Danio rerio: one gene and its partners. The main gene of each other region encodes a partner of the protein of the gene in region 3 in a complex. Links are inferred from orthologs where the notes say so. Each region holds a gene or a part of one and is shown on either strand. Other genes may lie near its edges. The genes, in order: odad3, clxn and odad4.

What was found.
Region 1: odad4 (region 3) and odad3 share a complex: the UniProt entries of both Homo sapiens proteins name them as parts of the outer dynein arm-docking complex. The link is inferred for Danio rerio from reciprocal best matches to the Homo sapiens genes ODAD4 and ODAD3.
Region 2: odad4 (region 3) and clxn share a complex: the UniProt entries of both Homo sapiens proteins name them as parts of the outer dynein arm-docking complex. The link is inferred for Danio rerio from reciprocal best matches to the Homo sapiens genes ODAD4 and CLXN.

What each region holds. Positions count from the first base shown.
Region 1 is NC_133181.1:9,167,738-9,171,390, forward strand, and holds part of odad3 (coiled-coil domain-containing protein 151), read right to left. Parts: intron 3,314-3,653; coding exon 3,157-3,313; intron 1,402-3,156; coding exon 1,252-1,401; intron 1,114-1,251; coding exon 1,029-1,113; intron 1-1,028. UniProt on the Homo sapiens protein: Component of the outer dynein arm-docking complex (ODA-DC) that mediates outer dynein arms (ODA) binding onto the doublet microtubule. Involved in mediating assembly of both ODAs and their axonemal docking complex onto ciliary microtubules.
Region 2 is NC_133194.1:42,812,140-42,816,327, forward strand, and holds the start of clxn (calaxin), read right to left. Parts: upstream 2,806-4,188; 5' UTR 2,771-2,805; coding exon 2,695-2,770; intron 2,561-2,694; coding exon 2,405-2,560; intron 127-2,404; coding exon 22-126; intron 1-21. Other genes in the region: grna.1 (granulin 1 precursor), read right to left, coding at 4,175-4,188. UniProt on the Homo sapiens protein: Component of the outer dynein arm-docking complex (ODA-DC) that mediates outer dynein arms (ODA) binding onto the doublet microtubule. Seems to regulate the assembly of both ODAs and their axonemal docking complex onto ciliary microtubules.
Region 3 is NC_133178.1:16,689,275-16,693,617, reverse strand, and holds the start of odad4 (outer dynein arm-docking complex subunit 4), read right to left. Parts: upstream 2,845-4,343; 5' UTR 752-2,844; coding exon 489-751; intron 384-488; coding exon of another isoform or gene 340-383; coding exon 252-339; intron 1-251. Other genes in the region: dnajc7 (dnaJ homolog subfamily C member 7), read right to left, coding at 3,767-3,804. UniProt on the Homo sapiens protein: Component of the outer dynein arm-docking complex (ODA-DC) that mediates outer dynein arms (ODA) binding onto the doublet microtubule. Plays an essential role for the assembly of ODA-DC and for the docking of ODA in ciliary axoneme.

The DNA of each region.
Region 1 (3,653 bases), on a different chromosome or scaffold from region 3:
AATAGCATGCATTTATATAAAAAGATTTTCACATTTTCACAGATATTGTCAGAGGTTGATAAACTTTCAATTGCCACATACAGTTGAAGTCAGAATTATTAGCCCCCTTCGATTTTTTTTCTTCTTTTTTAAATATTTCCCAAATGATGTTTAACAGAGCAAGGCAATTTTCACAGTATGTCTGATAATATTTTTTTTCTTCTGGAGAAAGTCTTATTTGTTTTATTTCGGCTAGAATAAAAGCAGCTTTTAATTTTAGGGACAAAATTATTAGCCCCTTTAAGCTATATATTTTTTTCGATAGTCTACAGAACAAACCATCGTTATCCAATAACTTGCCTAATTACCCTAACCTGCCTAGTTAACCTAATTAACCTAGTTAAGCCTTTAAATGTCACTTTAAGCTGTATAGAAGTGTCTTGAATAATATCTAGTAAAATATTATTTACTGTCATGATGGTAAAGATAAAACAAATCCATTATTATAAATGAGTTATCAAAACTATTATGTTTAGAAATGTGTTGAAAAAATCTGCTCTCTGTTAAACAGAAATTGGGGAAAAAATAAACAAGCGGTCTAATAATTCAAGGGGGCTAATAATTCTGACTTCAACTGTATATATGGGCTTTATATGGCAAGTATACAGTATGTATCCCCATTCAAAATACATTTGACACTTCATGCCTCCAAAAATAATTAATATCAATTAAAAAACTAGATTTGGAAGAAATCATTGAGATAAAATAATATGTGATCATGTGATAAAAATATGATATTATGAGTCAAAGTTATGTCTAAGCACTGCAATAAATATAAGCTTTCTGCCTTTGTAATCATTTTCAGCATTTAATTAGTTTTTATTATTTAGATTCTGATATTTTCAGCTTAGCTCATGCTGTACTTTTAATCTGAATTTTATAACTTAGTATTTCAAAATTTGTACTTTTTAAATCATAACTATGACTTTGTATTAGGCATCTCATGTTATGTAACAGATATGTGATTTCATGTGGAAGGAGTGTCTCACCGTCAAAAGGATCCTGTTTGTGGGCCTCATGCAGCTGAATGCGAGTGTTGTACTGGGGTATTTTTCTCGCTATAGTGGCATGGAACTGCAGGGAAGCAGAAAAAATATGAGCAAGGGCTATTTTACAGCTTTAAATAAAACCAAACAAAGATAGCACATGTTCTTAAATTAAACAAAACTCTTCATAAGGCCAAAATATAAAAACACTAATGGCGTCCCTAACCTCTTCCTCCTCCATCTCCTTCATGATGGTTGCCAGATCATTGCCCTGCAGTTCCTCTTTCAGCAGCATGAGTTTCTCCTCAGCCTCAGACATCAGCTCCAGTATGTGCTCGTCTGAGTCTGGAGACAGCTGGGGTTCCGGACCCTTCATCTGCCAGAGACACAGAAAAATATTTATATTACAGGGTTTACAAATACACTCGCCGGCCACTTTATTAGGTACACCTTACTAGTACCGGGTTGGACCCGCTTTTGCCTTCAGAACTGCCTTAATCCTTTGTGACATAGGTTCTACAAGGTATTGCAAATATTCATCAGAAATGTTGGTCCATATTGACATGATAGCATCATGCAGTTGCTGCAGATTTGTCGGCTGTAGAACTATGATGCGAATCTCCAGTTCCCCCACATCCCAAAGGTGCTCTGTTGGATTGAGATCTGGTGACTGTGGAGACCATTTGAGTACAGTGAACTCATAGTCATGTTCAAGAAACCAGTCTGAGAGGATTCACGCTTTATGACATGGCATGTAATCCTGCTGGAGGTAGCTATCAGAAGATGGGTACACAGTGGTCATGAAGTGATGGACATGGTTAGCAACATACTCAGGTAGGCTGTGGCGTTTACACGATGCTCAGTTTGTACTAATGGGCCCAAAGTGTGCCAAGAAAATATCCCTCACACCATTACACTACCACCACCAGCCTAAACTACTGATACAAGGCAGGATGGATCCATGCTCTCATGTTGTTGACACCAAATTCTGAGCCTACCATCTGAATGTCGCAGCAGAAATAGAGACTCATCAGATCAGGCAGCGTTTTTATAATCTTCTATTCTTCAATTTTGGTGAGCGAATTATAGCCTCAGTTTCCTGTTCTTATCTGACCAGTGACACCCAGTGTGGTCTTCTGCTGCAGTAGTCCATCAGCCTCAAGGTTTGACGTGTCATGCATTTAGAGATGCTCTTCTGCATACCTCAGTTGTAACAAGTGGTTATTTGAGTTACTGTTGCCTATCAGCTCGAACCAGTCTGGCCATTCTCCTCTGACCTCTGGCATCAACAAGGCATTTGCGCCCACAGAACTGCCGCTCACTGGATATTTTCTCTTTTTCAGACCATTCTCTGTAAACCCTAGAGATGGTTGTGCAAGAAACTCCAAGTAGATCAGCAGTTTCTGAAATACTCAGACCAGCCCGTCTAGCACCAACAACCATGCCATGTTCAAAGTCACTTAAATCACCTTTCTTCCCCATTCTGATGCTCAGTTTGATCTACCGAAGGTTGTCTTGACCATGTCTACATGCCTAAATGCATTGAGCTGCTGCCATGTGTTTGTCTGTTTAGAAAGTTGCATTAACGAGCAGGTGGGCAGATGTACCTAAAAAAGTGGCTGATGAGTATAGATTAGTCAACACAACAGAGGGTTTTTACATATATGTCTTAAATGTACTACAAAAAATGCTTATTTTAAGGGTCAGGGAGAGGGAGAAAAAGGTCAAATAAATTACAAACAATTGAAAGTTTTATTGGTGCAATAAACCTTTAAGGGAAAGTACATTTTCAGATATTAAAATTGACAAAACCCTTTGGTCATTTGTTTTTTTTTCTTGTTGAACACATAAGAAGATATCTTCCTGTGCATTCTGCATAAGAAAAACACCCAAATAGTTTTAACCAAATGAAAGGTGAGTAAATAATGACAGAACTTTCTTTTTTGGGTGATCTATCGCTTTATCATTTTGAAAAGATTTCAGGCAAGAAAACCCATGACCTCTTGAAGCTTCAGGAAGGCTGAAGTTCCTAGAAGCCTATTTGTAGAAAACATGTCTATTATTAGCCAGGGTTATAAAGGGGCATGTTTTGTGGAGCATGTTTGATGTGTTTGGCTGGACTGATTAGTACCGATGGGATGTGCTGTAGTTTGTCGCTGAGCTGCTGCACTCCTGCTCTGACAGTGTTTAGTATGTGTGTGAGTCTGTCCAGATGATCTTTAGCTGCATCACGACGCTGCTGCTCCTGCTGTAGACGAAGCTCACACTCCTGCAGCATCTGCTCCGCGCTGAACAACGAAACAAGAGAATTACAAAGCTCACCAATGAGAATAATTGTATTATATAATGCCTTTCAGAAAATGTCACCACTAAGGTTGCATGTCTACTGAAGCGTTCTTGCACAGCTGAAAACACAAGGTAAGGGTTGCACCAGCTGTGAGTTCATAAGTCCATGCTTGAGGTTTCTTAAAGGTACAGTTCACCCAAAAAAATTCTTATTTTACTATTTACTTTCCCTTAATGGTTATAAACATTCACATGTTCCTTTATTTTAACACAATCAAAGATATTTTGAAGAAAGCTGAAAATCTTTAACCATTGACTTCCATAGTAGAAAAAACAAATCGT
Region 2 (4,188 bases), on a different chromosome or scaffold from region 3:
ATTATAATGTAAAGAGCTCACATTTCATTTTTTCATCCAGTGTGCCTCTTAGAAAGACAGACAGAGCCTCAACCCACTCTTTAACGCTTAAGTAGCCATCGTTGTCCTTGTCAATGACACGACAAACTGAGTGCACAAGAGATTAAAAGTATAGTGAGTGATATCTTCTTGACTCTGAAACATATATGTATTTACTCATTGGCCACTTTATTAGGTGTGATTTTTTTTAATGTAAATAACTAATAATCAGCAAGATGTATCTTAATGCATTAAAGGCTAATAGTTCACCCAAACTTAATTTACTCACTCTTAAGTATTTCCAGACCTATATGATTTTATTTTTCTGTTGAACCCAAAAGAAAATATTTTGAAAAATGTTGGAAACCAATTGCAATTGACATCATAGTTATAAAAACAACTACAATGGAAATCAGTGCAATGGAAAAACCTGCAAACTCCACACAGAAACAGCAACTGACCCAGTCAAGGCTCGAACCAGCGACCTTGTTGCTGTGAGGCAACAGCACTACCTACCGCGCCACTGCGTCACCCCTTACTAAACTTAGATGTATGTATACAGGTTACAAAACACAAAGTGGTTTCTTGAACATTCATTCATTCGTTTTCTTGTCGGCTTAGTCCCTTTATTAATCCGGGGTCGCCACAGCGGAATGAACCGACAACTTATCCAGCACGTTTTTACACAGCGGATGCCCTTCCAGACGCAACCCATCTCTGGGAAACATCCACACACATAAACACTCATGCACTTAGGACAATTTAGCCTACCCAATTCACCTGTACCGCATGTCTTTGGACTGTGGGGGAAACAGGAGCACCCAGAGGAAAACCACACAAATGCAGGGAGAACATGCAAACTCCACACAGAAACGTCAACTGAGCTGAGGATCGAACCAGTGACCCAGCGACCTTCTTGCTGTGAGGCGACAGCACTGCCTACTTCGCCCGGTTTCTTGAACATGGTCACTTAAATGGCTCCACAGTCACCAGATCTCAGTTCAATACAGCACTGGAATGGGAGATTTGCATCAAGGATATGAAAGCTGCAGGTTCTTTTATTAAAATGGACTAAAACATGGAATATTTTCCGCACCTACTCAAATCTGTGCCATGAAGAATTAAAGCAATTTTGAAGCCAGAGATGGTAAAATAGATACATCACCTTAAAAAAACGTAAGTTCAGCAATCATTTACTCGATTTCCACTTGTTTAAATTTCATTGAAAACAATGGTATATATCAGGGGTGGCCAACCGTGTTCCTGGAGAGCCACCTTCCTGCAGATTTCAGTTGCTACCCATATCAAACATACCTGAACCAATTAATTAGGACCTGAACACCACGTGATAATTACAGGTAGGTGTGTTTGATATGGGTTGCAACTGAAATGTGCAGGATGGTGGCTCTCCAGGAACAGGGTTGGCCACCCCTGGTATATATAGTGGAAAAAAAACGGCCACTGACTCCATAGTACTTTTGTTCCTACTCTGAATGTCAATGGCCATTGTTGGGTTAAGTTACTTTCAAGCAGGGGTGGACTTAACAAATATGCAAGGCAAGTAGCTGCTTAGGGCCTCAGGGAATTAGGGGGTCCGACCAATGCCAAGAACCTTATATTAATCATATAGCTATTTTATCATTTTTTTCTGTGTATAACCATTAAGATTTTAACATTATTGCTTCTTTTCTAATATGGGGGCCCCATCAATAATGGAATGTTCGTTAGCTTGTTAAGAAGTGTCTTCAAACAAAAGAAAATTTCCACTGATTCACAAACAGCTATTATTTAGATAATGGTGAAAAGATTACTACTATAGAGCTTGAAAAATGATAGACAGTGCTGTGTGTTTTTGCTGTTGCATCTTTGGTAACAGGTCCAAGATATATTTATATTTAGATTATATTTAGTTTAAACATGCTGTTTATTTACCAAAATAATAATACTAATAATAAATAAATCTATAGAGGAAAAATATCTATAAAGAAAGAGAATGTTTTGTTTCAATGGGGCCCCATACCTTTGCTTAGAGCCCCCCATATGACTTAAGTTTGCCCCTGTTTTTTAAGTGAAATATATTACAATCTTAAACCACTTATAACCACATTTAGATAGGCTTGAGGTTGTAATTACTTTAACAACTAGGGTAACTTTACCCAAACAGAAAGAAACTCATAAAAGTTTAGAACCACTTGAGTGTGAGCAAACGATGGAGAAGAAGTATTCATTTTGGGTCTGAACTATCCCTTTAAGTTTAAACCCCATTATAATGCTTGCATGGTGAACCTAATAAAGTGGCCGGTGAAAGTATATATGCAATAAATACTGCACTGCAAATTGTGATTGTTTTGTTGGTCGTTGTTCTCATTCAGAAACGCAACGTTACCTCTGTCCGTCATCATGTCGTCGGTCATCCCGAAAGTGTGGTGCAGTATATTTCTGAATTTGGCCCGGTCCACTCCAATAGTCGTCTTTCTCTCTGCCTGCTCTCCCAGCAGACTGTTGAACAGCCTTATCAGACACTCCGTCTCTGTTTTATTAACTACAGTATGACCACAGCTTAGTAACGTTAAATAACCTACCTTGTTTAGTATAGTTATTAGAGTTATAACTTTATAAAGCTGCAGGTTATTAACGAACTAAAAGCTGATATCTCAAACGCAAGTAGATACTCACAATGTTTGACTTGTCTGCATAAAGTCTCGGCGAGGTTTTGAATTAATTTTCTGTTCATCGCCGACATTTTCAGCATGTTTTACTCTCTTTTTAGTCTTTGGTTGAATGTTGCTGTGGAAACGTGTAATGTGGGCGGGGCAATGTTGTGACGAGCAAGCGCTGCATACACAAACCAGGATACATCGATTTAACGCATTTTAACTTGTCGAGCGTTTCCCTTCAGGGACGCATTTTGCAAATTTATGAAGGTAATTCTTCGTTTAAAGTCGTATACCAGCGGATACAGTATGTGGTAAGATATATAAATGATCCTGTCAAACACACATTGATGGTAACTGTTGTTTACACATTGAAACCCACGTGTGTGGAAAAGTGCGAGGAAGTGTTTATTAATGAAAATACTAAGAAATGTAACAACAAACTTATTCTTCGAATTGTCCAACAAAAAAAATCATATTGCTCCAAGAAAGAAATCATATTGGTCAGCTTTAATGAAGATATTGATTGGAAAAGAACATGCTTCTCCCATTCAAATATGTAATCCCAAACAAAGCAAATTAAATCCATTTTAAAACTTTACACAAAATATACCCGGTCAATGCATTTATCTTAGAATTTACTGATATTGCAGATACTTGTTCCTTTTGTCAGGAAAATCAGGAAACTTTGACTCGCATGTATTTTACATGTAAAATCTCACTGTTTTGGTCAGATCTATGTAATTATTTGAAGAAATCCCAATCAACAAAACAAATCTTTAAACTGAAAAATATCATTTGTTGTTATTTAAGCCCCAAGAATAAAAATGAAGAATATTTCTATAACTTTTTTTTAATATTATTTGCTAAATTCTTTATCCACAAACAAAAATTTCTTAAATCCTCTCCCTCATTTGCCCATTATTTAATTGAAATTGATTTCTTGCTTAAAGCTATACGTCTATCTAACAACAACAAAAATCTGCAAGTCAATAGAAACTTATGAAAATATCATGCTTCCAGGATGTTAGTAATTAATGCTTTCTGTATTTCTAATTTCTAATTTCTTAATTTAATTTTGTACTTGCCTTTTCTTCATTTTGTTCTTTCTTTTCTTTTCTTCATATTACTTTTTTCTTTTTTTACTTATTGTTCTTATCACTTTGTAATATCACTTCCTGATTTATATTGTACATTTCTTTCACTCAATTCATTTGATAAAGTGGACTGTTGGGCTTTACAGTGCATTAAATTCATTCACAATCACTGATTACTTCATAAAAATACTATGAATGAATGAATAAGAACACAATTTCTTTTCCCCCAAATTAATAATGTTTATTAAATGACGGTGCATTTTGACAGTAATTCTATTAGTTTTTATTTCACACTAATTCAGCCTGGATGTAAGAATATAGCCTGAAACATGAATGAAGTTTGGAGCCTCTTGCATTTTGACAGTCTTCAGTAAGAGGTGAACCAGTGTAACAGTGGTTGTTTGATTACAACTCCAACC
Region 3 (4,343 bases):
TAATGTCTTTTTATAATTTTATTTATAAAATATAATCGCTGTTGCTGTTGTTTATATTAAAAAGTGGGCTATACATGGAATTCAAATTACTTATCAGATATCCAGAGAACGATCGAATCAGATTATACAAGTACGCCCTCTTCAGGGCAAATGCCTTACTACACAGATACATATCAACGGTAACTTTACTGAAAAATGCATTTCAGAGCAAAAACGAGAGGAAAATAAGCCAGTACTGCAAATAAACACACCTTGAAGTAGTTTTTGTTGTCTTTAAGTGAGCTCTCGGCGTCTTTCAGCGCGTTTTCTGCGTCTCCGAGTTTAACATAACACCTGGATCTGGAAACTAAACAGTTCTTATCATCCGGTTGCAAAGTTAAAGCCTGGTGGATAACAGACAGCACGTATTTATTGTAAAATAAAACAAATTTAGACACACCATATTTTCAGATGTGCGTTTCACATAAAGCCTGCATGAGTTGGCTTACCGTAGTAAAGCTCTCGACGGCTTTGACATACTCTCCTCTCTGGAACAGCTGGTCTCCTTCAGCCATGTAGGTGGTGAAGGTGCTTTTCGGGCCTTGTCCTTCCTCGTTATCGAACATTTTAATCGTATTTTAGGCAAAATTATGTCAAAACGTTTCAGTACACATCTATACGTGAGGTTGCAGTCCTGTCTGGTGTATCCTAGCAACGTGACTAACAAAACACAGTGGGACCAATGAACTGTGAGAGGAACTTTGATTGACATGCCAACACACAGCACGCCATTTCACCCTAAATGTGCAAATTTACCTCAGAAAACGTTTCATTTATACTTTTTTATACTCTTTTAGACCATTTATACACCTTACTCTTTTGTTTTACACTATACATACTGTATACAATCATACTACACTGTAAAATCCAAAAATGTAAGGTTACTTGAACCATTTGTGGATTATAACAAACCATCTCAATCCAAAAACTAACCCTAATGAGTACTGTGAACTTAATCCATTTGAGTAAACGAAGCACTGAAGCACATTATTACTGTAAAAACCATTTAGAAGGCAACTCAAAACCGTGAGGAAACCAATTGCAACAAACAATTTGAGTTAAAAATTATCTATACTGTGGACTTACTCCATTTAAGTTGAATTAATGAGGTATTTATTAAACTCGTTACCTTAAACATTGAGTTTAAAACTGTTTTCAAATGAGTAGAATTAACTTTCAGTACATTTGGAGTTAACTACCGGGTTTTACAGTGCTTATGTGCTTTACTCAAATCAATTTTAAACTCATTTCACTTGATAAAGTTGACTGTTGGGTTTTAGTGTAATGATACACTCTAAAAAGGATGTTTTTTGTTTAAAATATCTTCAAAATGTTTGACATTTCATTCTGTAAATGTTTCTTTACACACACTTTGTCTTAGACATTTGCATGTTTAAAAATATACATGACCAAAAAAAAAATTTAGAATCTGTAATATCTTAGAATTAGTTATAATGTGGTTATTCTGCTCACAAAGGCTGCATTTATTCAAACATACAGCAAAATTCAATTGTATTAAGTATTTTTATTTAATGCAGCTCAAGTTTAATCAATTCCTGTGATTTAAAAGCATGATACAAAGTCTTCAGTGTCGAGACGAACATTTTCCAGCACACAGCCAGTCACTATTTAATGAACCAGCCTTTTTGAATGAATCATTTGAATGATGAATGAATCAATTAAGACAGCTGGCAGTTTTAGTGTCATGTTATGTTAATTCATGACGCTTAAAACAAGTATTTGCACAAAAATAAATGCATTTATATAATAGATATTGTTAAAAATACATTATGTAATTACCATTTTAAATTTATATATATTTTTTTCTGTGATAATCCAACTCCCATACAGTAAGTCTTTCTCTTTTAACAATTACATATTTTTTACGTGTGATTTGAGTTGTTAGTGATTTTGTACTAATATCTGATCATAATAGAAATGCAAATAATCATATAATGATTTTAGAAGTAATAAAAATTCAGCATTGAACCACAGGAATACATTAAATTTAAAACTACATTCAATACTTAATAAACCACATTTATTTGCTAAAATGTGTACAAATAACAATGCTATAGCTAGCAAAATTGAAGACAAAAAATATTTATATATCTTTTTAAAAATGTATTGGAGACATAAAAGTTAAGCATGTGGTGAAGGGGAAAACAGAAAGAGGCTTACTTTATTTACATGGCTTTTTTTCTTTAAAAACGGTCCATAGTCGAGACTGTTCCAGCGGCGTGAGCCAAGTCAGCATGGACATTATCTTTTGAATACACTGAAGATCTTTCAAGATGAGCAACGTGAACATATTCCAGACGAATTTACGTTTTCTGAACGAACTACACGGCCAGGTCAAATACAGCAAGAGAATGGTGGAGCGCGACAAATCTGCAGCATCCAACGTGGAGGAACACTTAGTTAAAACAGTAGAGATCACCAAACATGGCTCACTGATCATGCCTGCAGTTTACTTACATCCACACACAGACAAACAGACGCGCGCACGCACACAGCAGAGTAAATGGAATCAAATCCACAAATAACCAGATCAATAATCTCCATTTTTCCTCTCTAAATCAGAAGTTGTTATTATTATTATGAGTGTTGGCTAAAAATACTCTCTCCCCTATACAGTTTAACCTATACAGATCCTAGTGTATCCAAAGATCATCCATCCATCCGTCCGAAGCTCACGTCCAGCGAATTTACAATAAATATACATATCAAAAATGTGAGTGTCTTTCAGAGTTAAAAAAAAAAATTAAACAGTCATAAACTATCAACACAAAACAAACAAAAAAACACTTTACATTCCAGTAAAATGTACAATGCAGCAAGGGCTTGAATGGCAACATATGACGAAAAAAATGAACATTACAGAGAGGGAACGTGGCCAACAGGTGCTAAAAGATAAACTTGCACTCGCTTTCTCTCAACCTCTGTATGCAGTAGTCGAACAATCCAGGAATCGACTTGCGTGTTTTTATATATATATATATATATATATATATATATATATATATATATATATATATATATATATATATATATATATATATATATATATATATATGTGATGAGATTTGGCATGAGGCGCTGCATTCATGTTTGCTGAGGTCTTTAAAATGGCTTGCAATGTTGCATGTATATAATCTGTGTGGATTCTGGCTTTGTACAGGTTTAGACAATCTATACGTCACTAGTAGTAATGAAACTCCTGTGATACACCTTGCTTTTTCATTAAAATCTGTCTTAGTTTGGATGATATGGAGCATTTTGCGATCGGTCAAGGAGAAACAGGAGATTTGCAAGTAGCACCTTCTTAAGTTCCCCCCCAAACATCAGCTGTTAAACTGAAGATTTTTTTTTTCCAAAATAATAAATGTGGAAATGATGCACTTGGGTACATTCGATATTGTGGATTAAGAAAACCAAATGATAAAAGAAAAGCTGGATTAAGAGGACACACTGATCGGAGTGAGAGAGAAAGAGAGAGAGTAGTGTGAGGTGGTAGAGTATGGTCTGCCCCTGCCGTTGTTGTCTTTTGTGCGCGAGCAGGAAAAAAACAAGCCAATGGCACAGATGCAGGTCCAACTGTGGCGCCCGAAGGCCTGATTCACCAGAGTGTCGTTCATCAGGAGAGCAGGGATGGAGGAGAGCAGTTCGGTTTCGGGGGAATTCAGAGGTTGTGGAACTACTGCATACGTGCTGGACAATGCCCAAGCTAACCGAACTGGAAGAAGAAGTTTCCAGGTCCAGATGCTGCAGGACAAAAAAAAGGGAAGAGAATGAGGAAAAAAGTGACTGTGAAGAATTGAATGTGTGAACATCACACAAAACTACTAAAAGCAGCTGGGGTGTGCTATATTGACCAATGAAAGCAGGGTTTTTTTTTGTTTAAGATTTTGATAATGACCATTTTTACTGAAAAATGAACAATCAATAACTAAAGTCACTAACTAATTATAATATAAAAAACAACAAAAATAAAAAAGTATATAATTGTTGAGAGAATGACTGTAAGAAAATTTATGAGCCCCTATTCAATTCAATTCGCCTTTATTTCTATAGCGATTTTAGAATGTAGATTGTGTCAAAGCAGCTTCACATAGAATATTAAAGTAAATTAAAACCGTGTCAGTTCAGTTTTCAGAGTTCAAGTTCAGTTTAGCTCGGTTAAATGTGGTTTAATATTCAATACTGAGAGTCCAAAAACTAAGGAGCAGATTCATCAATGCGCAGCTCTACGAGTCCCGAACCATGCAAGCCAGTGGTGACAAAAAAATAAAATAAAAAATCTT